Pelodiscus sinensis: one gene and its partner. The protein of the gene in region 2 interacts with the protein of the main gene of each other region in a pairwise test. Links are inferred from orthologs where the notes say so. Each region holds a gene or a part of one and is shown on either strand. Other genes may lie near its edges. The genes, in order: PRKRA and LYAR.

What was found.
Region 1: the proteins of LYAR (region 2) and PRKRA interact in binary tests that used the Homo sapiens proteins (3 or more experiments, as listed by UniProt). The two-hybrid records come from large-scale screens. The link is inferred for Pelodiscus sinensis from reciprocal best matches to the Homo sapiens genes LYAR and PRKRA.

The regions. Positions count from the first base shown.
Region 1 is NC_134717.1:46,430,096-46,441,740, reverse strand, and holds the start of PRKRA (interferon-inducible double-stranded RNA-dependent protein kinase activator A), read left to right. Parts: upstream 1-6,398; 5' UTR 6,399-6,459; coding exon 6,460-6,713; exon of another isoform or gene 6,714-6,738; intron 6,739-6,797; exon of another isoform or gene 6,798-7,245; intron 7,246-7,670; coding exon of another isoform or gene 7,671-7,751; exon of another isoform or gene 7,752-8,117; intron 8,118-9,244; coding exon 9,245-9,414; intron 9,415-11,096; coding exon 11,097-11,178; intron 11,179-11,645. Other genes in the region: PJVK (pejvakin), read right to left, coding at 2,131-2,305, 7,671-7,751. UniProt on the Homo sapiens protein: Activates EIF2AK2/PKR in the absence of double-stranded RNA (dsRNA), leading to phosphorylation of EIF2S1/EFI2-alpha and inhibition of translation and induction of apoptosis.
Region 2 is NC_134715.1:110,472,692-110,485,097, forward strand, and holds the start of LYAR (cell growth-regulating nucleolar protein), read right to left. Parts: upstream 5,188-12,406; 5' UTR 5,046-5,187; intron 5,040-5,045; exon of another isoform or gene 4,900-5,039; intron 4,888-4,899; exon of another isoform or gene 4,793-4,887; intron 2,098-4,792; 5' UTR 2,030-2,097; coding exon 1,908-2,029; intron 1-1,907. Other genes in the region: ZBTB49 (zinc finger and BTB domain-containing protein 49), read left to right, coding at 6,727-6,816, 8,964-9,136, 10,891-11,996. UniProt on the Homo sapiens protein: Plays a role in the maintenance of the appropriate processing of 47S/45S pre-rRNA to 32S/30S pre-rRNAs and their subsequent processing to produce 18S and 28S rRNAs. Also acts at the level of transcription regulation.

The DNA of each region.
Region 1 (11,645 bases), on a different chromosome or scaffold from region 2:
CTTCAATGTTTATTGGAATTATACATAGCTAGAGGCAGTTATGCTGCTGAAATACATGACACAATTTATAAAAATAAAGTATCACTGTGGCCCAATTCTTCAGTCAGATCTGAATGGGCAGACACTTGACACTTGGCACAAGGGGTCAGTCACATGAATCAACTGCAGGCTTGAAGCCACTATTTCCATTCAACAGTGACATTTCATGGAGATGCACCTTGAGAACATATATATTAGTAGAAGACTTACCTGGCATTGCCCGGGTCCTTCAAGAGCGGGGGGCTGGTGGTGTGGGGAGTGCAGGAGTCAGGACAAGGCCTTGGGATGTGGGGGGAGCAGGGCAGGAGGAATGGGTGTTGAAATTGAAAGTTTTATTCTTTTTATATTTGTATTTTAGGATTAATAACGTAGCAATGTAAGGTAACATATTATCATATATATATAAAGTTTAGTAAGTAAAGAGACAGGATCTCATATTGTGTCTATGTCAGTGAGGGTTAGAGGAGGGTTGAAGGCCGGAGCCTTCAGTGTGAATTGTTTTAATTACAAAATTTAGTAAGGCAATTTACAATGCTGTCTGCTTTTGTTCAATATAAAACTTTGCTGTTTGTATCTCTGTGAAAGACTGTTTGTATGAATGAGATATGGTGTGAAGGTCATCGTTAAAGCCAGATGGGCAAGAGAGAAGGGGGAGAATGCGGGGTGAAGACTAACTGTAAAAGACAGACTGTGAAGAGACATATCGGTGTCAGAGAAACCATCATTGCATACCCATGGCCAAGAATTGATCAGATTGGCAGACTGACGACTCTAAAGGTGAAGGCATCCCTAAAAACAATTGATTAACAATCCAGGACAGGGTGAGCCTCTTGGAGATGTTTTGGGAGTGATTAACATCAACAAGATAACAGTAACTGGTCACAGACTGACATAGCGAAGTCCATAGACTTCAACAGAGAAAAAGGATTATAAAAGCAGGGTGCTTTGCTATAGAACTTTGGGTTCATCTTGCCACCAACTCCAGAAGAACATTGGATCATGACTGACAAAAGACCCTGCTCTCTCTCTGTGATCAATCTGACTGGCCACTAGATTGGTCCAGACTCTGGACTGGTAACTATAACATCATCTGGCAGGACTGTGTGGCTGTGTCTACACTGCACCCCTTTTCCGGAGGATCTTTTATTCCTACTTTCAAGCTGAGGGGAAGTAGGAATAAAAGTACTTGAAAGTAGGAATAAAAGATCCTCCGGAAAAGGGTTTATTTTCCGGAGAATCACGTCTAGACTGGCGCTTTTCTCCGGCTTATCCCCAAGCCGGAAAAAAGCGGCAGCCATGTTAATGCAAATACCGTGGGGGATATTTAAATCCCCCGCGGATTTTGCTATTCCAAAGTGTCTAATCTGCATCCCTTTTCTGGAAAAGGAGTGCAGTGTAGACACAGCCTGAGTGTATGGTGTTTGTGTGTGAGAGTGACTGAAAAGCATATGCAACTGTTGTATTCTCAATAAATGTGGCGTACTGCCTTTTCCCCTATAAAAGATCTCGCGTGCTTTGTTTAAGCATAACATAGGGGGTGCATGAGTTAGGTGGTAGGTTGAGGAAGGGGGCTGGAGATGTGAGGGTATGTGAAAGTTGTGGAGTGCACAGGGGGTCGAGGTGGGAGGTCTCATCTGCTAGGGCCTTTTCTCTCCCTCCAGACACCCCAACCAACAGGGGTCATCTCTTCTCCCCCAGCCAGAAAGAGCCTTCACTTTCTCCATAGCCCCTCCAGCCAGCAGGGGCCATCTCTCTCCCCAGGATCCGTCCTGGCAGGGGACTGCTCTCTCCCCCCAGCCCTCCCAACCAGCAGAGACCTTCTCTCCCCCCAGCTGACCCAGCTGGCAGGGGCTTTCTCTCTTCCCCTCAGCCAGCATTTCATAAGCATATTTGCGCAATTTTTAAATAGAAGTTTGACTATGTTTAAATTTATTTTCCATTTCTCATTAATTGCTTGAGTCATTAAGATAATTATATTTTAACTATACTAATGCACCACCATACTACATATTATAATTAAATATATAACATGAGGTCTATACTTATTGCAAAAACTTAATTATTCAGGCTTAAAAAAACCAAAAAACGTACCTGCTGAAATTTCTTTCTCTCCCTGAAGAATGTCTTTTAAAGTGAAAGGTGTTGAAGCAAATTTAGATTTTCTTGAAAGAAAACACTTTTTCTTCTTTATAACAAGACTCAGAGGTTGGTATTTGTCAGCTTCACTGAGGCTAGGAACGGGGACTAATCTCCCACCATCACCAACCTGCTTAACAAAGTTTTTGGTAGCAGCAGCAAACATATTATGATATTAATCATAAAAACTCCTGTACCAACTGCATCTTCAAAACTTCATACCCATGTTAAAATATTTTACAATATTTTTGTAACTGAACTATCACATAACAAAAATTAAAGTCTAGCTGCTTTGTTTAAAACCTAGTACATTTTGTTTGGAGAAGAGAATCAGTAGGTCATCACCACCCAGCTTCTACAGTATATTGCTTTTACAGCTTCCCTTATGTCAACTAATCCTGCACAATGAATAATACATTAACTGTGTAAACTGATACAAAGATGTTTGCTTGATCTTTAGTAGTATAAGGCCATTATCTGAAAGTAAGATGATTGCTTTAGAATCAAAAGACTGCTACATTTTGCAATCTTTTTTGTTGTGATTGCAAAGACAGTGATATATTTGCTGTTTAATGTGCCTTTTATCCAGCTGGATCCCAAAGTGCATTACCAATGGGAATTCACCTGAACAGGCCACCTAAGCTACATAATTGTGTAAAGACTTAACACTTTTTTAAGGGAAGGAGACTTCTTTCAGTAGTGGCTGCATAATAGCTCTGTTAAAGACCTCAGCCTGGAATAAATACATTTCAGATTGTGAGCGCCTTTCTAAACTTTTTTAGCTGATGAGTAAATAGGACTTTGTCCAAATTTACTGTATGCTAGTGTCTCCATAGGGTGAGGGAAGTAGGGATTTTGCTGTGTTTTGTGGTTTCACTTCTGAAAGGGTTTACTTTGCTGATGTTTACTCTTTTCTGGCAGGTTGGTGTATTAGGGTCATGAGGGCTTGAAATTTATGTTTTCTGCATCAGAAAGGACATTATTGGGTTTTATTGCCTACATGATCAGGTGTGAATTTTGTTCTGTGAGTTTGATGGGAAAGGGGGAGAGGAACATAGCAGTATGTTACTTCATGGATGGTGGTGTGTGTCTGTGGAGAGGAGAAGGAAGGTTGATTGATCTTGTCAGCATTTGGTAGGAGTGACATATCAAGGTACAATCCCGACTAATGATTGGCTATGTCATCCCTTTCCTATAACCTGGGATGCCCTTTACAATGTAGACTCCAAACTGGACTGGTCACCACCAGTATGTAAATCACTCCCAGCTATGTCTGAATGAGTGCTGCAGATAGACAGTCAAGCTTTGGCTCTTACTGATTTAGTTTTGCTGTGGAGCATGATGGGCAACCTAGTTCTATGTGTGGTCCACAATACATTTTGTTTACCACTGCCTAAGTGTGGAGTTACCAGATTCCACTAGTTTCCGTTCATGTAAGCTTTTTCCTAACAATATTAAAGTGACATGTATGTAAAGCAAAAGCACATGAAGTGAGGTGTGTGCTGAATGCATACACATTGACTGTGACAGCCATATGTTCCCTCTGCATCCAAAGTGCTATTATGGTTCAAACTGCACACCCACAAATTCTAGGTACAGAAGAGCAGTTAGCAAAACTACCCTACTCCAGGAAACCATCATGGTTACAACAATCTTGCAACCCATTCACTTGTCTAGGTCACCAAGCACTGCTGCAGGGTGACAGCACATACAGTCTCAGTCCTAGATTTTCCTCCAGAAATGTATGTACTGTACTGCACAGCCCTCTCTTGAGCAGTACAAATATACTGAGTCATTATTCCTTTAAGGCAGGGGTCTCCAAACTTTTCAGCCCGAGGGCCGCATTAACTATCAAACAGCAGTTCGGGGGCCGACTACACACTTGAGGTCCAAATAAAAAACAATCAAAACATGGATGTTGTTTTTAATTATTTATTTAATATTATTTTATTCAGTTATTATTTAATAACACATTGATACACTACACATGAACACCTGTATTAGTGTGAATGGTGAAATTGTTTCCTGGATGCCAAAATAGCACACATTTCTGGCTTTAGATTTGTTGTCCCTAACATCAACAGTGACCTGAGATTATCATCGGACAAGTTTGTTCTCAAATTGTTCTTCACATATTTCAGACGTGGGGAACTCAGCTGTTGCTTCAGCCATGAAGACCTTGCACTGCTGAAAGTGCGTCAAGTTGTTGGCCTGTACTTGTTCCAAAAACAAATTAGCAGCATGCCAGGCACATGCTATGGGGCACTGCATTAATGCACTGGGGAAAACTCACCCTTCAGGCCAGCGAGAAGAAATCCAGAGAGTGAGAAAAATACTTAAAAGGAGCAAGGGACAAATGAAGCATTAAAAATTAACATTTTTCCTCACCTAGAAGCTGATTTTAGGCACTAGATCTGGTGTTTTAGGAGAGATCTGAAAGAATTTAATATCGATTTAAATCAGGGGTCACCTTTTTAAAGTTCCCGCGGGGGTTCACGTTCCCCCGCACGTCGCCGGGCGGGCGTTACCACCACCGCCCATCCTGCCCCCTGATTGGCCGGCTGCCCTGTCAGTCTGGGCGGGGGAATGCTGCCCGTGCTAACCCCCGCCCCTGCGCCGTTTGCCGCCGCGCGGCCGCTTGTCATTGGAGCGGCCCGCTTCTCCTGCCCCGGCGCGGCGTGAGTACACGCCGCACACCCCTGACAGGGCCCCCCCCCACCGCGGCAAGAAGGGCCCGTTCGGCGGCGCCCCAGGGACGGTCTCCACGGGCCGGATGAGAGGGCCTCGCGGGCCGCATCCGGCCCGCGGGCCGTAGTTTGGAGACCCCTGCTTTAAGGGACTAATATGCACACAACTGAGTTACCTGGACACTTCAGCTTGAACACACTGGATTTGATACAAAACCTTTATTGACTAAAAAGAGAGAGCTTTCAAGTGAATACAAGTAATGAGCCATAGAAATAAAAAAAAATGGTTACAAGAAAAATAAAGGTAAAGTGCTAACATAACTACATTTGATTCAAAGGAAAAGTTTTCTTACCACATGCTTTCAGTCTTAGATCAGGTCACAGACCCTGGCCTATTGTATACAATAGCTGATGCTTTTGTTTCCTTAGGTGCACAGTGGCTACACTCCCAGGCCCGAGCTCTCTCCTCATGTCCTCTTCCCGGACTCCTGCACTCCAGGGCTGGCCCACAACATTTTGGCACATGAAGCGGGTAGCTCAAAAGACACCCCCATGTAGGGTTGCCAGGTGTCCGCTATTCTACCAATCTGGTTTTTGTGTCCTCTGTCTGGTAAAAAAAATTCAGAAAATACTAGACATGTGCAATGCCCGATATTTTGTTTTTCTGGCCGGGTGCTGGACGGAAGCCTGGCAGGGGCAGAGGAGTGGCTGGGAGGCAGAGCTGCGATTGGGGCTGGAAGCCTGTGGTAGCGTGCAAAAACCTGGTGGGGACGGGGGTAGCTGAGACTCCCACACACTCCCGCGGCCTAGCTTCTACACTCAACCAGAGGGAGTCCCAGGCTGGGAAGCGGGGCTCTGATTGGTGCTGGGAGCCTTTGTTTGCGTGCAGAAACCAGGCGGGGGGTGGGGAGAGTGGCTGGGAGGCGGGGGTGCAATTGGCCCTGGGAGCCCTCAGCTGAATGCCTCTGAGGAGGAGTGATGTCTTGAGGAGAAGCTCTGTCCCTGCTCCTGAGCGCTGTTCAAGCACGTTGTAGCGCTGTAGTCCAGGAGAGAAGCCCACAGGTGCTTTGTAGTTGAGTTTAGGTGCCTTTCGTGGGTGCTCAGCCAAAACTGACTGGGGTGGAATTTCTGCTTCTTTCCACTGGGACACCCAATTTTTAGCTGGTGCTGTTCGGTATTTTTTAGGAGACCATCTGGTAACCCTACCCCCAGGTCCCCTCCCTTGGGCCAGCAGCAGACACAATTTTCTACACTCTGGGTCCTAGTGGTGCCCCCCCCCCCGGCACCTGCCGCAGCCACCACAGTTCGCCTCATGGTAAGGCCAGCCCTGCTACAGCCCCTCCACACTCCTGCCCTGAGCCCCTGCCCCTCACACCTCTCAAGCCCTGGCGCTGACTCCCTGCACCCCGGTATCCCCCTCCCCGCACTCCAGCCCACACTTCAGTGTCTTACAGGTACTGTCTTATTACAACCCTCCCGCGCCTGCCCGGACCGCTCCCCCCAGGGCGGGCTGCAATGGCTGCAAGAAATGGGGGCTCCCTTGGCGGGGGCGGCTTGTGCATCACTCCCCGGCCAGCCTGGGCCCACAGGCTGCGTAATGCGGGGAGCTGGCCCCTCACGGAGCGCTCAGCGCAATGGGCGGGGGGGCCGCAGCGGCAGGCGGGGGAGGCCCCCCCCCGCACCACGCGCCGACGCGGCCCCGCCCACAGCACAGGCCGCGGCGAGGCGCTCGGCGGGCGCGGTGGCGGTAGCGGAGGTGGAGGCGGCCGGCCCGGCCATGTCTCAGGAGACCTTCCCGTTCCCGGCCGCGACCCAGCAGAGCCCGGCGGCGGCGCAGGACCAGGCCCGCAGGTCAGGGCGCAGTGGGGCATTGTGGGTAATTAGGGGCCCTTCTCCCGGTGCGCGGGCGGCCGCGGCCACCAACTGCTGGTGGGGGGGGAGAGGCTGGAGCGAGCCCCCGCCCTGTTACCACTGGGGCTGGCCCGGGCCGTCACCTCGCAGCGGGCGGGGAAAGCGCTGCTCCCCTCCGCCCGGGAGAGCGGCTCACCGGCTGCGCCCCGCCCTCCGGCCTGGTCTCCCAGAGTCTCGGCGGCCGGCGCGGGGCCTCGGCCTGGGTCTTAGCCCCGACTCCCGGGGGCTGCCAGTGTAGCTGCCGCCGGTGCGCCTCTGGCCCTGCCCCTCAGCAACCCGGAGCCCCTTTGCGGATCCCTCCCCGCTCTCTGCGGAGCTGACGCCTGTAGCCGTTGTGAACAGGGCTCAGCGTCCCTGCCCAGGGGGAACGTGAGAGCTGAGACAGGGCCCGGGGCTTCCACGCACCTTGTTCAGGGCAAAGCAGCAGGGGCAGACTGATCGGTGCAGTGACAGTCAATCACCCCCCTGGCAAGTAAGAGCCTGATCCTCCAAAGCACTTGGTGCCCCGCAGCCCAGCTTCGCAAACGGAGCCATAGGACAATTTGACAAAAGCGCAGGAGCTTGTGTCATGATACTTCCAACAGCAACATAGTTAGTTGCTTAGTTTAATTAATACAGGGAGGGGAAAAGGAAATCTAGTACATGTTCCAAGCCAGACAAAGATAATGTTTGTATGCCATGATCCTACAAACTCACCTTTGACTTTAAGCATGTGAGTAGCCCCACCTAAAACACCAGTTCCTGAAATAGCTAACACGGCTATATTTCTATCACTGAAATAGCTAGGTGTGTGTTGGAGAGAAGCTATCCAGACACTGTTTACTTTTGTACCTGCTGAGTTTGAGAGAGATTGAATTTGCACACATTATAGAACTGTTGCCTTCAGATATTTCTCACCAATGATTGTTTCTTTGCTGTGGAGAAGTAGTGAATACTTTCTGTATCTGTATCACTTGTCCATGTTGTAACTGAAGCCATTCCCAGTTGTCATGGTGATCAGAAGAAAGCAACAATAGCTTGGAATGTTATTTGGAAAATGTATTCTTTCCCCCATTCCTATCAACCTGTGGAAAAGTTGCCTCTAAAGCAGCATGCAGCTTCCACCAGACTTGAAAAACATATTCTTTGTCCCCATTCCCCTTAATTGCCAGTACAGGCTTTCAGTATCAGATAATTTTTCTTTTATCAGTTAGTGAGATCAGTTTGATTTTTTTTCATAACTTAAGTGGAGGATGACAAGTTGTCTTGAAACACAGATGATAAGACTTCTCTTCATGAGGAGGTGATTCAACATCAGTGCAATTCAGTAGCAGCCAAAACTAACTCAGGGCGCGTCTACACAGCACCTTTAGCTGGAAATAAGTTATGCAATTTCTGCTACGCAAATTGCAGAGCTTATTTCGAGTGTATTTCTAAATTAATTGTGTTGTTACTGCCTGAGCTACCTGTTTTTCCTCTAATTATGGAAGTTCTCAAATGGAGAGTCATGCAACCTCATGGAGTTGCAAGTATGTTATGTGGGGGGTTGCAAATACATATCTCCCAGCTAGCTAACATGTCTGCTGTGAAAAGTGATATTAACATGCAACTATTACTTTAAAATAGTGTAAAATATAAAAAAGTCTTAATTTTTAAGTGTGTGTGTTTTGGGGGGAGGGGAAGAGTCACACTGAGGCTTGCTATGTGAAAGGATTGCCAATAAATACATAAAATTTGACAACCATTGCAATCTTTTCCCATTCTCTGCTGCAGCTATAATACTCTTCCTTTCTTACTGTTTTAAGGGCAACATACCCACCTCTAGAGCCTCTTATTGGGCATTTTGAAACAAGGTTAAGCTCAGACTTCTGCCTAGCCATTGAAAGTTTATTTTTACAGTAGCTAGAGCTGGTAAAAAAAGATGCAAAAGTGGCAAGGAGTCCTGTGGCACCTTGTAGACTAACTGAAGTATTGGAGCATAAGCTTTTGTGGGCAAAGACCCACTTCGTCAGATGCATGTAGTGGAAATTTCCAGAGGTTACATGCATCTGACGAAGTGGGTCTTTGCCCACGAAAGCTTATGCTCCAACACTTCAGTTAGTCTATAAGGTGCCACAGGACTCCTCGCCACTTTTGCAGGTTCAGACTAACACGGCTACCCCTCTGATTAAAAAAAAGATGGAAATTTGAGAGATAATATTGGCCTAGTGAGAAGGGTGCTGCATTGTGTTCTAAGCATGCTATACCATGGGCTCTTGGATAAGTACTATGCATCCCTATATCTTTGTCTCCCCACCACAACGTAATGATGCCTTCCCCTTTTTTGTAAAATGCTTGTAGATCTGTGGATGAAAAGTACCATAGGAGCCAATATTAAAATTTCTTGAAAGTGTTGGTAACAGTAGTGAAACAGGGAACAGCGATTCCCATTTTTTAAAAATCAGCTCTAAATACAGATTTCCCTTCTAAAATGATAAATCTTTTCTTTGTAGCTTGGAGGAAATGATTGTTGCAAAACCAGGGAAAACACCAATTGAGTTGTTACATGAATATGGCACGAAGTGTGGTATCACTCCTGAGTACGAGTTTGAAAAGGCTGAAGGACAAGTACATCTTCCAAGTTTCACCTTTAAAGTTACAGTAGGTGACATAACGGGCACAGGTCTGTAATGTTGCTATACTTTGGTATGGTTGTTGGTAGTGGTTTCAGGAAAAAAATCTTTCTTCCGCTGTGTTTTTCATTAGAAAATACAAAAATAATCATTTATTTAATGGGTTAATATGTTTGACAAATACTGGAAGGCAAGCTTTTAAACTTTGAGTTTCACATGTGACTAAATATTAAACAGTGCAGTTTTAGGCTGTTAATTCTGATTTAATATTTTCAGAAAATTCAGTAAGAAAGGTAAAGAACTATAAACTGAGGCTACGTACGACTGTTCACATACTGAAGGGAAAAGCTCCAAGAGCTGCCTGCTAATTTGAGGATTCTGAAAAACCTAACCACTAGAAACTAAGTATTTGTAGGTATAGTTTAATCCAAACAGACCAATATTTTGTCTTCATGATAGGGACGTATGAGTATGCAAAAACATTATGATTGTGAAGTCAAGTACAGAGAAGTCAAGGAAATACTATAATTAAAGTTGCTTGTGCATCTTTGATTTGCTCCCTTTCTATGCAATCTTGGGATGTCATAGCCTAGGTGTATTTGTTTTTTAAAAACTTAAGGGATTATAGTTCTTTGATACAGAATATCTTCACAGTTCATTAGCAGGATTCAGAGCACAGTACTTGAGGTAATGCAGCAACTAATAATATGCTGTTATTCTCTGTGGACTATCATTAAAATGAGATGGGAAACAGTGTACCAGTGGGTTTCAAACCTATTTGCTAACAGAGGGATAAGGAGATTCATGAATTTGGGGTTCAAATTCCAGATTCTGGAGGAGTCTTCTATTTAGTTACAGGCAGTCCCCAGGTTACATGGATCCGACTTACATCAGATCCCTACTTACAAACGGGGTGAGACAACCCCGCACTAGCTGCTTCCCCCCAGGAGACCAGGGAGACGCAAAGCTAGTACCCCTCCCAGCAGACCAGGGAGACGTGGAGCGGCTTTTCTCAGCAGACACCTCAGCTTGAGAATAAAGGACTGAGGGAAGTGAGGTGTGGGAGAATAAAACTGAGCTCTGGAGAAATGTTTGGCTAGAGTTTCCCCTACAATATGTACCAGTTCCGACTTACATACAAATTCAACTTAAGAACAAACCTACAGTCCCTATCTTGTACGTAACCCGGGGACTGCCTGTATTTAGAATTCTGTCCCTATATCCCCACATCTCCTACAAAATACACCCTAGATTCCCTTAGCAAAGGCACTATAAAAAGCCACCCAAGCCTGCCTTCTGAGGACACAATCTCAAACCTCAACACAGGGATAGATGAAGCATGTCAGGAATAGGGCAACATCACAGAGTGCTTGCTTTAAAGATTTCAGACAGGGATGCCATTAGGGGTAAAATCCCATTTAGTTAGTTAACTAGATAAACATGAAGGTTAACCGATTAAACGGGCAGGCGGAGGCGTTCCTGCCCGTGGCACACCTAGTGCAGCCCACCACGGGGCTGCTCTGACTGAGCTGGAGTGCACCAGGCCTGCCACGTGCCCCTCCAGGCTAGAATGGGCAGGAGAATACTCCAGCCCCCACCATTTAACAGTAACCAGTAAGCATCATCCATTAAAGGTGATGCTTACCTGTTAACCATTCACATCCATAGATGATGTAACAATTTAATAAGAATATCATGTTATAAGGATATCAGATTGTCTATTTTAATACAGGTGAAGGTCATAGCAAGAAGATTGCAAAACACAGAGCCGCAGAAGCTGCCTTGAACATTTTGAAAGGAAATCCAAGTATTGGGTGAGTTAGATTTGGCTGTATAGAACTGCAGAAAATGTCATTACTGATCTAAAACAGTATTCAAAAAAGCACTGAACACACACAATATACTGTCAGTTAGGCTGTTAGGAGACTTCAGTTTCTCTGAGGAAAGTTTTTCTAGTCCAAGTTAAAAATTTGACACACAAATTTTCTAATGTGGTAATCTTTTCTGTAATCTGGATTCTTGTATTTAATTCTTTTACCAGTGAAACTGTCCTAAGATGAAATGTGTTTTTCCAGGTGTTACATCTGTTACAAGATGCTGTTCTGTGCTATAATTTGAAGCTGTTAAGTAGCTTTTTCATCCCAAAACATTCTTTAACAACAACAACAAAAATTGCTTGCATCCTTGACTCAATGTTGGTTTTCTTCATTTAAATCATTGTTGTGAGGTGGGGCTGGAGATGAGGGTTCAGTGTGCAGGCTTCCTTGGGTAGAGAGTTCTA
Region 2 (12,406 bases):
ACTATTTGATAAGAAAAAGCTTATTGGATAGTCAACTAGCCCCTCGACTAGTCACTTCTCTCCCTCCTCCTCCCCCACTTGCTGACTCCATATGAGTCCATCAGAGGCAGCAAGAGGGGGAGCAAGAGCTGGTGTTGCGGGTACCAGCAACATTCACACATTCAGAGATGCTCAATGACTTATTTGTTTTGGTCTTCACCGAGAAGTCTGTAGGAATGCCCAACACAGTGAATGCTAGTGGGAAGGGAGTAGTTTTAGAAGGTAAAATAAAAAAAAAAAACAAGTTAAAAATCACCTAGAAAAGTTAGATGCCTGCAAGTCACCAGGGCCTGATGAAATGCATCCTAGAATACTCAAGGAGCTTGGTACAGGAGGTATCTGAGCCTCTAGCTATCATCTCTGGAAAATCATGGGAGACAGGAGAGATGCCAGAGGACTGGAAAAGGGCAAATATAGTGCCCATCTATAAAAAGGGAAATAAGAACAATCCAGGAAACTACAGACCAGTTAGTTTAACTTCTGTGCCAGGGAAGATAATGGAGCAAATAATTAAGGAAATCATCTGTAAACACTTGGAAAGTGGCAAGGTGATAGGGAACAGCCAGCATGGATTTGTAAAGAACAAATCATGTCAAACTAATCTGATAGCTTTCTTTAATAGGATAACGAGTCTTGTGGATAAGGGAGAAGTGGTGGATGTGGTATACTTAGACTTTAGTAAGGCGTTTGATACGGTCTCACAATATTCTTATCAATAAACTAGGTAAATACAACTTAGATGGGGCCACTATAAGGTGGGTGCATAACTGGCTGGATAACCGTACTCAGAGAGTAGTTATTAATGGTTCACAATCCTGCTGGAAAGGCATAACAAGTGGGGTTCCACAGGGGTCTGTTTTGGGACAGGCTCTGTTCAATATCTTCATCAACGATTGAGATATTGGTATAGAAAGTACGCTTATTAAGTTTGCAGATGATACCAAGCTGGGAGGGGTTGCGACTAATCTGGAGGATAGGGCCATAATTCAAAATGACCTGGACAAATTGGAGAAATTGTCTGAGGTAAATAGGATGAAGCTTAATAAAGACAAATGCAAAGTGCTCCACTTAGGAAGGAACAATCAGTTTCACACATACAGAATGGGAAGCGACTGTCTGGGAAGGAGTCTAGGGTCATAGTGGACCAGAAGCAGAAAGGAATCTAGGGGTCATAGTGGACCACAAGCTGAATATGAGTCAACAGTGTGATGCTGTTGCAAAGAAAGCAACATGATTCTGGGATGCATTAACAGGTGTGTTGTGAGCAAGACATGATAAGTCATTCTTCCGCTCTACTCTGCACTGGTTAGACTCAGTTGGAGTATTGTGTCCAGTTCTGGGCACCGCATTTCAAGAAAGATGTGGAGAAATTGGAGAGTCCAGAGAAGAGCAACAGGAACGATTAAAGGTCTAGAGAACAGGACCTATGAGGGAAGACTGAAGGAATTGGATTTGTTTAGTTTAGAAAAGAGAAGATTGAGGGGGGACATGATAGCAGTTTTCAGGTATGTAAAAGGGTATCCTAAGGAGCAGGGAAAAAATTGTTCATCTTGGCCTCTGGGGATAGAACAAGAAGCAATGGGCTTAAACTGCAGCAAGGGAGGTTTAGGTTGGACATTAGGAAAAAGTTCCTAACTGTCAGGGTAGTCAAACACTGGAATAAATTGCCCAGGGAGGTTGTAGAATCTCCTTATGTAGAGATATTAAAGAGGAGGTTAGATAAATGTCTATCAGGGATGGTCTAGACAGTATTTGGTCTTGCCATGAGGGCAGGGGACTGGACTCGATGACCTCTCGAGGTCTCTTCCAGTCCTAGTATTCTATGATTCTATGATCTGTTAAGCCCTAGCACACAATCATTGACATACCAGAAATCTTTGCCACAATCCATACAAGAGAGGCACTGGCAGTTCCTGCAAATGTTTACATGTTTTTCAACCTGTCCTTTCTTCACAGAGTCTCCACATGCACTGCAGGTAAAGACTACCATTTTGGTGAAGCGATCAAAATAATTTCTTCTCAAAAGTGGTTAAAACTGGTTCTTTTCCAAATCCAAACCTACAAAAAATGCAATTAAAGTTATAACTCTGAAAAAAGCGTGTGAATTATATTTAAAGTGTATGTAGCTCTAGCTACCAATATCAAATCTATCAGATTTCATGTGAACAAGATTCTCAAGTTAACTGTGCTTCTAAGTAACATTCATTTTTAATTGCAAACATTTTTCTCTGTGTATACAACTCAAACAATTATTCTGATTGTTTTTAAAATAGAAAACTGCATCAAACTTGGATCATCTCTGATTCTTGCTTTTCCTTCTCTCTTCACATAAAGGTGCTTGCCAAATCTTGCTGTTCTCTCTTTGTAATATTTCTGTAATATGTTCTTCCCCTTTGTCTCTGATGTCAAAATCCTGGTTCAGGCCCCGTAGTGTTCTTTGACACTTGGATTAATTTAAACTCCTCTGTTCTAAAGAGGGGAGAGTCAGTGATTCTATGCAACTTTCAAAGGGACAGTCATGTTAGTCTGTATCTGCAAAAACAAGGAGTCCTGGGGAACCTTAAACACTAATCTGTTATATAGCCACAGGACTCCTAGTTGTCTATACAACTTTTGTACTAGGGATGTAAAAATGTGTTTAAAAATGTTAACTTTGTGATCACTAAAAATCATAGCAGTTACACACGCTGCGGGCTCTGCAGTATAAAGCTTAAATAAGCTTTATACTGCAGAGGCCACAGCGAAGCCTCCTCAGGAGTAGGGCTGCTGCCAGTCCCACTCCCAGAAAACCAGTGTGTAAGCTGCAGCGAGGAATGGGCCAGGCCCCACCAGACAGGGGTTGCTCCAGCTCCTACGGGTTAACCGGAATCGGTAAACCATTTATATCCCTACTTTGTACTGATTAAAAGGCTACATCATCCCTTCCTGATGTTAACACAGACTGCCAGTCAGATTTTGTATGAAGATCAAACTCATCTCTCTAAAAATTTAAGTCTTTACCTATTTGACCATCCATTGCCCTCCACCTTGTTCTTCTTAGTTCTCTTTTTGTTTATTCTCCCAGTCTTCATTTCTCCCCTTTTAAAAAACCTCCTCCCATATTTGGCCCTCACTAAACACTATATCGGGGTGGGGAACCTTTTTGGGTTGGGGGCTGCTGACCCACAGAAAAAACAGTTGGGGGGAGGGAGAGGTGTTGCACACAAGTAAGAAAAAAAACACCTCACTGACCAGGCCCCTGACTGAGATGGACACTCCCTACATTCTCCTTGCACTCCAGAGCAGGGTGGAAGCACTAGGCTAGTAGATTTTGTGTGCTCCAGTCCCATGGTGGGGCAGCGGGGGGCTAGAGCACCAAAGCAGGCTCCCCAATGCTGGGGGAGAGCCCTGAGGTTCAGGGGCCAGATCCAGGCAGTAATGAGGGGTGGGTTTTTTTGTGTCCTTATCAGTGCCCCCTGATTTTTCTGAGCCAGTGGCCCCTGACAGGGAAAAATAAAGCTCTCTACCCCAACTTAGGGTATGCTACACCAGTGGTCTCCAACCTTTTTAACCACAGAATCAATTTTTCAATTTAAGTGCAATGCAAGATCTACCTCAAACCCGAATACCCTTGCCCTACTTCCTTCCCACCCCTTCTTTTAGGCCCTGCCCCTGCTCCACCCCTTCTCCGAGGCCTCACCCTGCTCACTCCATCCCCCTTCGTTCCCCATCCTCACTCACTTTCACCAGGATGGAGTAGGGGTGCAGGCTCTGATCTTGGGCCAATGACTTTGGAGTGTGGGAGGGGCTTAGCCCAGGGTGAGGGATTGGTGTCCAGGAGGGGTTTCAGTGTGCAAGCCCTGGGAAGGAGCTTGGGATCAGGGGGACTCATGTCTGGGGCAGGAGGTTGGGTGCAGGAGGGGGTTCAAGGCTACGACAGAGGTTCAGGAAGCAGGCTCTGGCTGGGCTTCCAGGTGGTGGAGCAGCAGAGTTAAGTCAGGCTTACTCCTGCTCTAGCGCTGCACCGCTCCTCAAAGCAGCTGGCATGTACAGCAATGGCTCCATGGCACCATGTGCTGCCTTCCTGTATAGGCTCTGAGCCCACAGCTTCTACTGACTATGGTTCCTCATTACTAATTGATGGGAGCTACAGGAGTGGTGTCTGCAGGCAAGGATAGCATAAGGAGACCCACTATTCTGCCTCTCAGGGGCTGCAAGGACATGCCAAACACTTCCAGGAACAGCAATTACACCATAGGGATAATTAGCCCAGCCACACCAGGTTAGACATGTTAGAACTCCCTCCTCAAAGAATTAAATTTAAGCATAAGAGAGAAATGAACATTATGAACTGCACAGACCAGTCAAAACCCAAAACTAACACACTTTGCAAGCAGTAAAAGCAGTAACACCCACCCTCCAGTATATGTTAGGTCAGGAGATGAGAGGACAGTTGGTGTTTGTGAGACTGACACAGACCCACACAGTGTGACAGTGTCAGAGATTTGCATTGCCACGCTCCTGCCAGCCCCTTCTCTCCGTGTGGAGATAAGGTACAGAAGTGGGGAGACGGGACACCCCGCCATCAGTGCCCCCCTGCTCCCTCCCACACCCTACACAGCAAGAAGGAGGCTTCCAGGGGGGCAGCTCCAAGGCAGGAGCAGGAGCAGCAGCAGGACAGGGGGTGGAGGGGCAGCTGAAGCGCCAGCACTTGACAGACTCCAGCCCAAACCGGTCAGGATCAGCTATAACGCCCTTCCCCTGCTGGGCGCACCAGCCTGGTGTTTCCCTCGGCCAGCCCGGGGCGGGTCGCTGGGGGTCGTGCAGGAATCTCCCGTCCAGCGTCCATCCCTGCAGCGCAAGCGCTCGCGGGCAGCCTACCGGTCAGAGCGCGCGCCCAGCCGTTAGCGTCCCGCCCCGACCGGCTCGTGCAGTCAGCGCGACACAAGCCCTGCCGCCGCTCCCCACCCTCGGAAGGCGCCCCGGGGCTCGAGGCGATCCCAGGCATGGCTGGCCCCTCCACTCACTTTAAACGCTGCGCCACCGCCTCCAACGGCCAATCCCGCCTGACCCCGGCACGTGCCTCCTCCACTCGGTCGCCGCGGAGCTTGGAAGGGGGGGGGGGGGTTTCGACTCCGCTGGGCCCCAACTGCGCCTGCGCTCCCGATGGGGTCACCCTAGCCCCGCCGCACGTGCGCCTCGGTGTCCCCGTCGCGCCGTCCCGCGTGCCTGCCACCGGGAGTCCCCTCCGCGCGGAAACGGAAGTGCTGCCACCGGAAGTGCCGGGCCGGAACGGGAGGGTGGTGGCCCCAACGGGGTAGATCGAGCCGATGATGGAGAGGAGAGGCGGCTGGAGCCGGTAGGAAGGTTGGGCGGGAGGAGGCCTTAGAGCGGCTCCCCAGTCCCGAGGGAGAGGGGCAGGTCCCTGCCCTCAAGTCCTGGGAGCCGCGCTCCGGTACCGGGGCCAGGCCCCGCCCGGCCACACTCTTCTTGGTCAGTGACTTGGTAGTTAGCACCTGGTGTCCGCCCCTACCCGTTGCGCAGCTGCCCCCGCTCCCCCCGCGTTGTACTTATAGCTGGTGGCGGTAACATTGGGGCCAAAACAACCCATCGTGCGCTCACAACATTGCACCAGCTCCTCTGTAATATCTGTGGCTTGGGATGAGCTGGGGATCAATATAGTAACCCTTCTCCTACTCTCCTTCATTACACCAGTCCCCCATGACTGTGGCTAAGGATGAACTGGGAATCAGTATAATTCTTCCCCTATTCTTTCCCCCATTATGCCTGTGCCTATGTAAAGTCTGTGGCAAGAATTATTATGACCCCATATCTTCCTTTCCCCCACTCCCCAATATTACAACAGCCCCCATATCTGTACTTAGCATCACACTTGAATGTATCCTGCATCCCCAACATTATACCAGTCCCCCATGACAGTCCCCAACGAGGGGGGATGTGAAGGTGTAGAGCTGACTTGAGAGTTAGTATAGCACATGTCTATCATGTGCAGATGTGCACTACCAATAGAAAGACATGCTACCTGCTGTGGGTGCTCTACTAATCAGGTGGGTAGCATTTAAATCTCTTCTGGGTGGCTGCCTAAGAACTCAGTTTACAGGAAATACTGGTTAGTGTAATCTCTATTTGTTCCCTCCCCTTGACCCTTTAATATTAGACCAGCATTCTCTACCCCCACACATTTATGTTAGGGCTGTAAATAGGGCTAATCTGGGGGTTAGCATAACTACTGCATATTTCCCTCTTACCCCACTCACTAACATTAGGCAAGTGCTGTCCTTCCCCCAATAATATACTTGTAGCTAGGCATAAGGTTGGGATTAGCATAAACCTTGTATAGCCTCCTCTCCCAATAACAATACATCAGACTTTCCCTCACTTTTACACAAGGATGAAAATATCTTAAATTTCTTACAAGTATTGTTGTATCACAACAGGAGTCCCTCGGGGGGCGGGGCAAGTGTCAGGGCAGGAGAGTGAGGGGGAGTTGTGATCAGACAGTACCTGTAAGAAATGTAAGTGTGGAATGGAGTGTAGGGGGGCTCACGGCAGGGGATTGGAGAGGTGGGTGTTGGGAGCTCAGAGCAGGGGGTTACTGGTTTGGGGTTGGGCAAGGAGTTAGGGCAAGAGGTTGGGAAGTGTGGGGGCTCAAGGTGGAAGGTGCAAGAGTTAAGGCAGGGGTCTGGAATGGGGAGGATCAAGGCTGGAGTACCCAGGAGCAGGAGCAGGGGCAGCCACCACCAGCATCCCCAGGGCTGGAGCTGGCATCAGCTGAAGGTAGGGAGGATGTGGGGGTGTAAGAATCATGGCAGGGAGTTGTGGAGTCAAGGCAGGGGTGTGGAGAGTGTGGGGATGTGGGAATCAGGGCAGGGGTTTGTGGGGTGGGGGTGGGGGCTCAGGACAGACTGCTCTGCCCAGCCACTGGAGTACTGGAGAGGCAAGGACTTGCTTGCCCAGCCACCCAAGCACTGTGATGCCTGGTCACCTGAGCACTGAGGTGGTTGGGACCATTCTATCCAGCCACTTGAGCACCAGGGCTGTAGTCTGGGTGTGATGTGGCCGTGCTGCCTCAGGGGTTGGTAGCATCTAGAGCAGTAGTCCCCAACGTGGTGCCCGCGGGCGCCGTGGCGCCCGCCGGGGCATTTGTGTGCGCCTGGCGACAACCTGGGCCGGCCCCGCCCCTGGCGCACTGGAGGCGCCAGCCCCAGGCGCGCGGCGCTCTGGCAGCCCGGGGCACATGTGGGCGCGCAGCGCCGGTGCCGGCCCCAGGCGCGCGGCTCGGGTGGCAGCGCCGGGCCTATGGCACAAGGCACTCGGGCGGCCCTGGCCCCGGCCCTGGGGCACATGCCGGCGCCGGGTGCAAGGGCATCCCCGCCCCTGGCGTGCCCCAGGACGCGCGGCCCCACCCCCAGGGCGCCTGGCGCGTGAGTGGCCCCACCCCCCAGGCGACTGGCGCGTGAGTGGCCCCGCCCCGAGGCGCCTGGTGCGTGAGTGGCCTCGGGCGCCCGGGAGCCTCTAAAGGTTGGGGACCACTGATCTAGAGCCCAGCCAGCCAGTCTCTGACCCATGAGCTGTACTGGGGCGCACAGGCTTACTTTCACCTTTGGGTTAATGTAAGGGTGGTGTCACTCTCACATTCCTTGCATGCTAATATTGGAGCAAACGATTCCCTGTGTTATATCTGAGGCTGTTTCCTTTCTTATTCTGATTTCATGAAGACTTCTTCTAACATTTAAAAGAACAACCTAGATTGCTGCTGATTTTATTCCTGATAAGACAGTGACTCTAGCATCTTTGGGTTCCCTTCCACCCCAAGGGAGAGAGGCACTTGCAATCACCATCCTTAAACACAGTCACCAATGTTGCAGATTGCTTCAGTAAACTATCAGATCCTGTGGAGTAGGGAGAGGTTTTAGGGACTATCATAATGTTAAGAGGTTTTCAGTGAACTCTGATAGGAATTTTAACAATCGGCGTAGTGAAATAATACTTCTGAATAGCAGATGAGTATAATTAGGATGCATTCAAAGGCAATGCATCAAAAATACTCCAGGATGGTGCCCTGTAGTAGTCCTGAAAAAATGATGGAAAACTAATTTAATAGTGGGATGCAAATATACAAATTTCTTTTGATGGGTGACCCAATTAAAATTTCACTGATACATCCAGTAGTGAAGAGAAGCCCCTAAAATATTGTATTCTTCCTCCTTTCTTAGTCTTGTAGGCAAAAATTAAAATAAAGCATAGGTTATGTACAGCTCTTCATTTGGGAACAAATGTTAGATATTTTCTATTCCAGATCACTTTTGTGAGCAGCTCAAAGAGACTTTAAATATAATGTACTTTCTTTTCTGTGAAAAATAGTAATGTCTAATACTGCTATATTTTATGTATATGACAACTATAAGTGAAATGTGTTTAGTGCTACAGCAATGAGCACGATATAAATATATTTGATAGTAACTGAGTTTGGTCATTGAAGGATTTTCTGTTCTGATTTTAGAGAATTAAGAAACTAAGTTTTTTCCTGTACCAGGTACTTGTTAAATTTGTGGATCTTATCTTTGGATCTTCTGTGTTCTGTTTGCTTAAGTCTAATACATGTTGAAGTGAATATGGAGTATGTATAGCTATAAAGTTTAATTTTTTTGCAGCATCTCCATTACCAGATATTTGTGCACAAATCATTGTAATAGGAAATATTCACTTTAATAAAACTTTCTGTGTGCATGGTTACAGACATTAATCATCAATAGTTTGTTCATTAATCTTTAAATTGCTGGAATATGATTAGACATCTGTTTCCCTTGCAAGATAGGGAAAATAGTAGCAATACATTAATTTTAATGTAATTTAAAATTTGTTCTGCAATTGCACTATTGTAATTTAAAACTTAATTCCCAGAGTATTTTTATATGTTGTAGGTAATCAAATGGTATTCTAGCATGGACACTGTTGCTAGCCATAGTTGTCATCTTCTCCAGCAGCTACATGAACAGCGCATTCAAGGCCTTCTCTGTGACTGCATGTTGGTAGTAAAAGGTGTCTGCTTCAAAGCTCATAAAAATGTGTTAGCTGCTTTCAGTCAGTATTTCAGGTATGTAGTAGGAAATATTGTTATTGCAGAAATAAACAGGATACTGTATAACTCATGTCTTAATCTCTGAGGAGAGAACTTTTTTGCTAGCTAGGAATGCTAATCACAGGTTAGAAGAAAAAAGTAAGGAGAACTTGGATCATTTGTCCAGAGATAATCTGTATCTCACATTTGGTCTAATTAGAAAATATGGTATGCTTAAGTTATTTTGTACTTGTACTTATTTAGCCAGTAAGCTCTTTGAGAGCCTCTTTTCATTGCATACATACAGGACCCTAGCATAGTGGGGCCCCAATTTCTGGTGGGAGGGTGTTGACAAAAATGCAGTACATAGTAATACGCACTCCTTCCAAAATGCAGTTTGGGTTTGCATTGCAATACGGTGAGCAGAGCCAGGTGAGAGATTTAGTGGGTCAGACAACCACATCATTGTCCTTTGCTCTTTGGTGTTTAAAAGGAAACAGAGCAGGAGGACAGTTTTCTTTTTTCAGTTTTTCTGAATATGTATCTGTATCAGATTCACATATTGAAATATCTTGATGTGCTAGTCAGTGCATCTGTAACATAAGTGTGTCAGCAGTTCCTGCAGTGAGCAGCATTTACTATTCACTTGTCTTGGGATGCTGGGTAAGACAATTTTTCTTGCCTGTCAGTGAATAATCTGGTATGATTTTTTTACCCTGTATCTTGCACCATCACTAAAGCATGTGCTACCAAGACTTCCTGAGGGGAAAGAAAGTTGATATTCAAATGTTTCTCCACCTGTCCAAGTGTCATAAACACTGTCAAAAATAAAAGGACTCATGCCCAAAGACTTTTGGCCACCAAGTTTGAGCTGAAGGGAGTTAGGATCCTTTAAACATTCCAGCCCAAAAATAATAAAAACAATTACAGAAGGCTTAGGTAGTACAGTAGTGCACATTTTATATGCAAACAATTATGTATATAAAGTGATTTTGTTCTATGGATATGGCCACAGCTTGAAAAATTTACCATCCATTTAAACCTACTTGTTAGAGGCAGAGCTCTAAGTAGGATGTACCCTAGTGAGGTACACTGGCAGAGCCCAAAGGAAGTGCTTATTTGCTGGAAGGGGGAAATACCTTGGTTTTCCGAACTATAGGGTCCCATCTTTATTTTAATTTTGATTAGCTAAATATAGTGCTTCCTTTCTTACTCCCCATTCTGTTTGCCAGAAGGAAAGGGGAAGCCCCCCCTTCTCTGTCAATTTACTTGTGCACAAACAATACACTAACACAAGATTAAAGTTGATATTTAGAACACATAAAATAGGAAATTATAAGTATACAGTGAGATTTTCAATAGCTGTTAATGTTAAAGTCAACAGTAGAACTCCCATTTCATAGAACCATAGGGTTTGAAGAGCCCTCAGAAGGTCAACAAGTCCAACCCTCTGCTAAAAACAGGACCAATCCCAACTAGCTTATCCCAGCCAGGACTTTGTCAAGCTAGGACTTTACTTCTAGTGATGAAGATTCCACATCCTCCCTAGGTAACCCATTGCAATGCTTCTCCACCCTTGTAGTGAATTACAGAATTAGGCTAATTATGAGCATTTTCAAAAGTCCTGTCAGTAAATACCAGAGCAACTGTCTTGCAGCCCCATATTACATATTGAGTTATTGATTCACTTTGGCGTAAGATATTATGTTTGACAGATATTTTATTTAAAAAGTTCAAACTAGTAGGGTATATGCTTGTATATTATAAAGAGTTATGCTTCATTTCATCAGGACCCTATTTCAGAATTCTCCAGGCCAGAAGAATGATGTTTTTCACTTGGACATTAAAAATGTAGGAGGTATAGGCCAAATCTTGGACTTCATGTACACCTCACACCTTGATCTTAGCCAGGATAACGTACAAGCTATGTTGGATATCGCACAATGTCTACAAGTGCAAAATGTGCTGAACATTTGCCATACTTTTTTAAAATCTTCTACAGCGGTAGAACAGCCTGCTAGCATGCCTTGCAATAGTGTGTTCTCCTTGCAAAGTACTTTGGCTACAGAGACTAACTGTGTAAATGAAAATTATGGTACTAACTTACTGCATGAATGCTCATCAGATGCACAACCGAGTAAAGTGTTGGATGACCATCATTCTCACGGATCACAAACTATTAATCTTCATACTTCCTCAGGTGATGTACAGAAACAGACACAAGACTCCTTAGATGGTAATTGCACAGAGCTCCCTTTTAAACAGCCAAATTACTATTATAAACTGCGTAATTTTTATAGCAAGCAGTTCTACAAGCAAAATGCATGTTCCAACCAAGAGAGAATAACAGAACAGTCCTTTGCATTCAATACATCTACTGAACTAAGTACGGTAGAGAACAATTCTTGTACTGTCAGTCAATCTGAATGTATTTTGGAATCGTCTGACCACTTACCATCAAACTTTCTGGTTCAGGCCTTGAATGAATCTACACCAGACCAAGATTTGGAAAACACGTCCTTGCAGCCAACCCAACAGATGCAACTGAAAAAGGCAATACACCTGAAAAAACTGAATTTTCTAAGATCACAGAAGTCTGCAGAACAGTTGTCTGAACCTAAGAGAGATGACAACAATATAACAAGGGTAATTGAATCTGTAAATGGAAGTGCCATGGAGATGACAAATATTAGTGCCATTGAAGAAAAAGAAACTGAAGATCTTGTTAGTTCAGAGAGTTTTGAACAAACTGTTGAAATGGAAATATCTCAAGGTCCTTCAGAGCAAGAAGAGCAATCACAGATTCTTCAGTCACAGAGGCAATATACTTGTGAATTATGTGGAAAGGCTTTTAAACATCCAAGCAATTTGGAGCTCCATAAAAGGTCTCATACAGGTACAATTATTTCATGCTTGCATATGAAATATTTAATAATGATATAAAAAAGGAATTATATCCAGGCCTCCTAGTTCACACCTGGGACTTGGCAGTGCAGCTGCACCCAACTTTAGCTCAGTGCAAGGTCTGGGACTGCCCCAAAGAAACCTGGGCTCTGTTTTTCTGCCCAAGGTGCCTCAGGTGTGAGTGGGCAGGCTCAGCCCAGTAGGATCCAAGGATGGAGATGCTTAGTGTGGGGGATCCATGTTTGGGGTGAGAAGTTTTTGGGTCAGGCAAACTGATGTCTCAGTGGCAGATTTGGATGCACAGGGGCTCATTTGGGTGGTGGTGTCCAGGTGTAGTGTCAGTGGACTCTTCAGGAAATCCAGGTAAAGGTGGTTGGTGCTCAGCAGAGAGGGGGGGGGGGT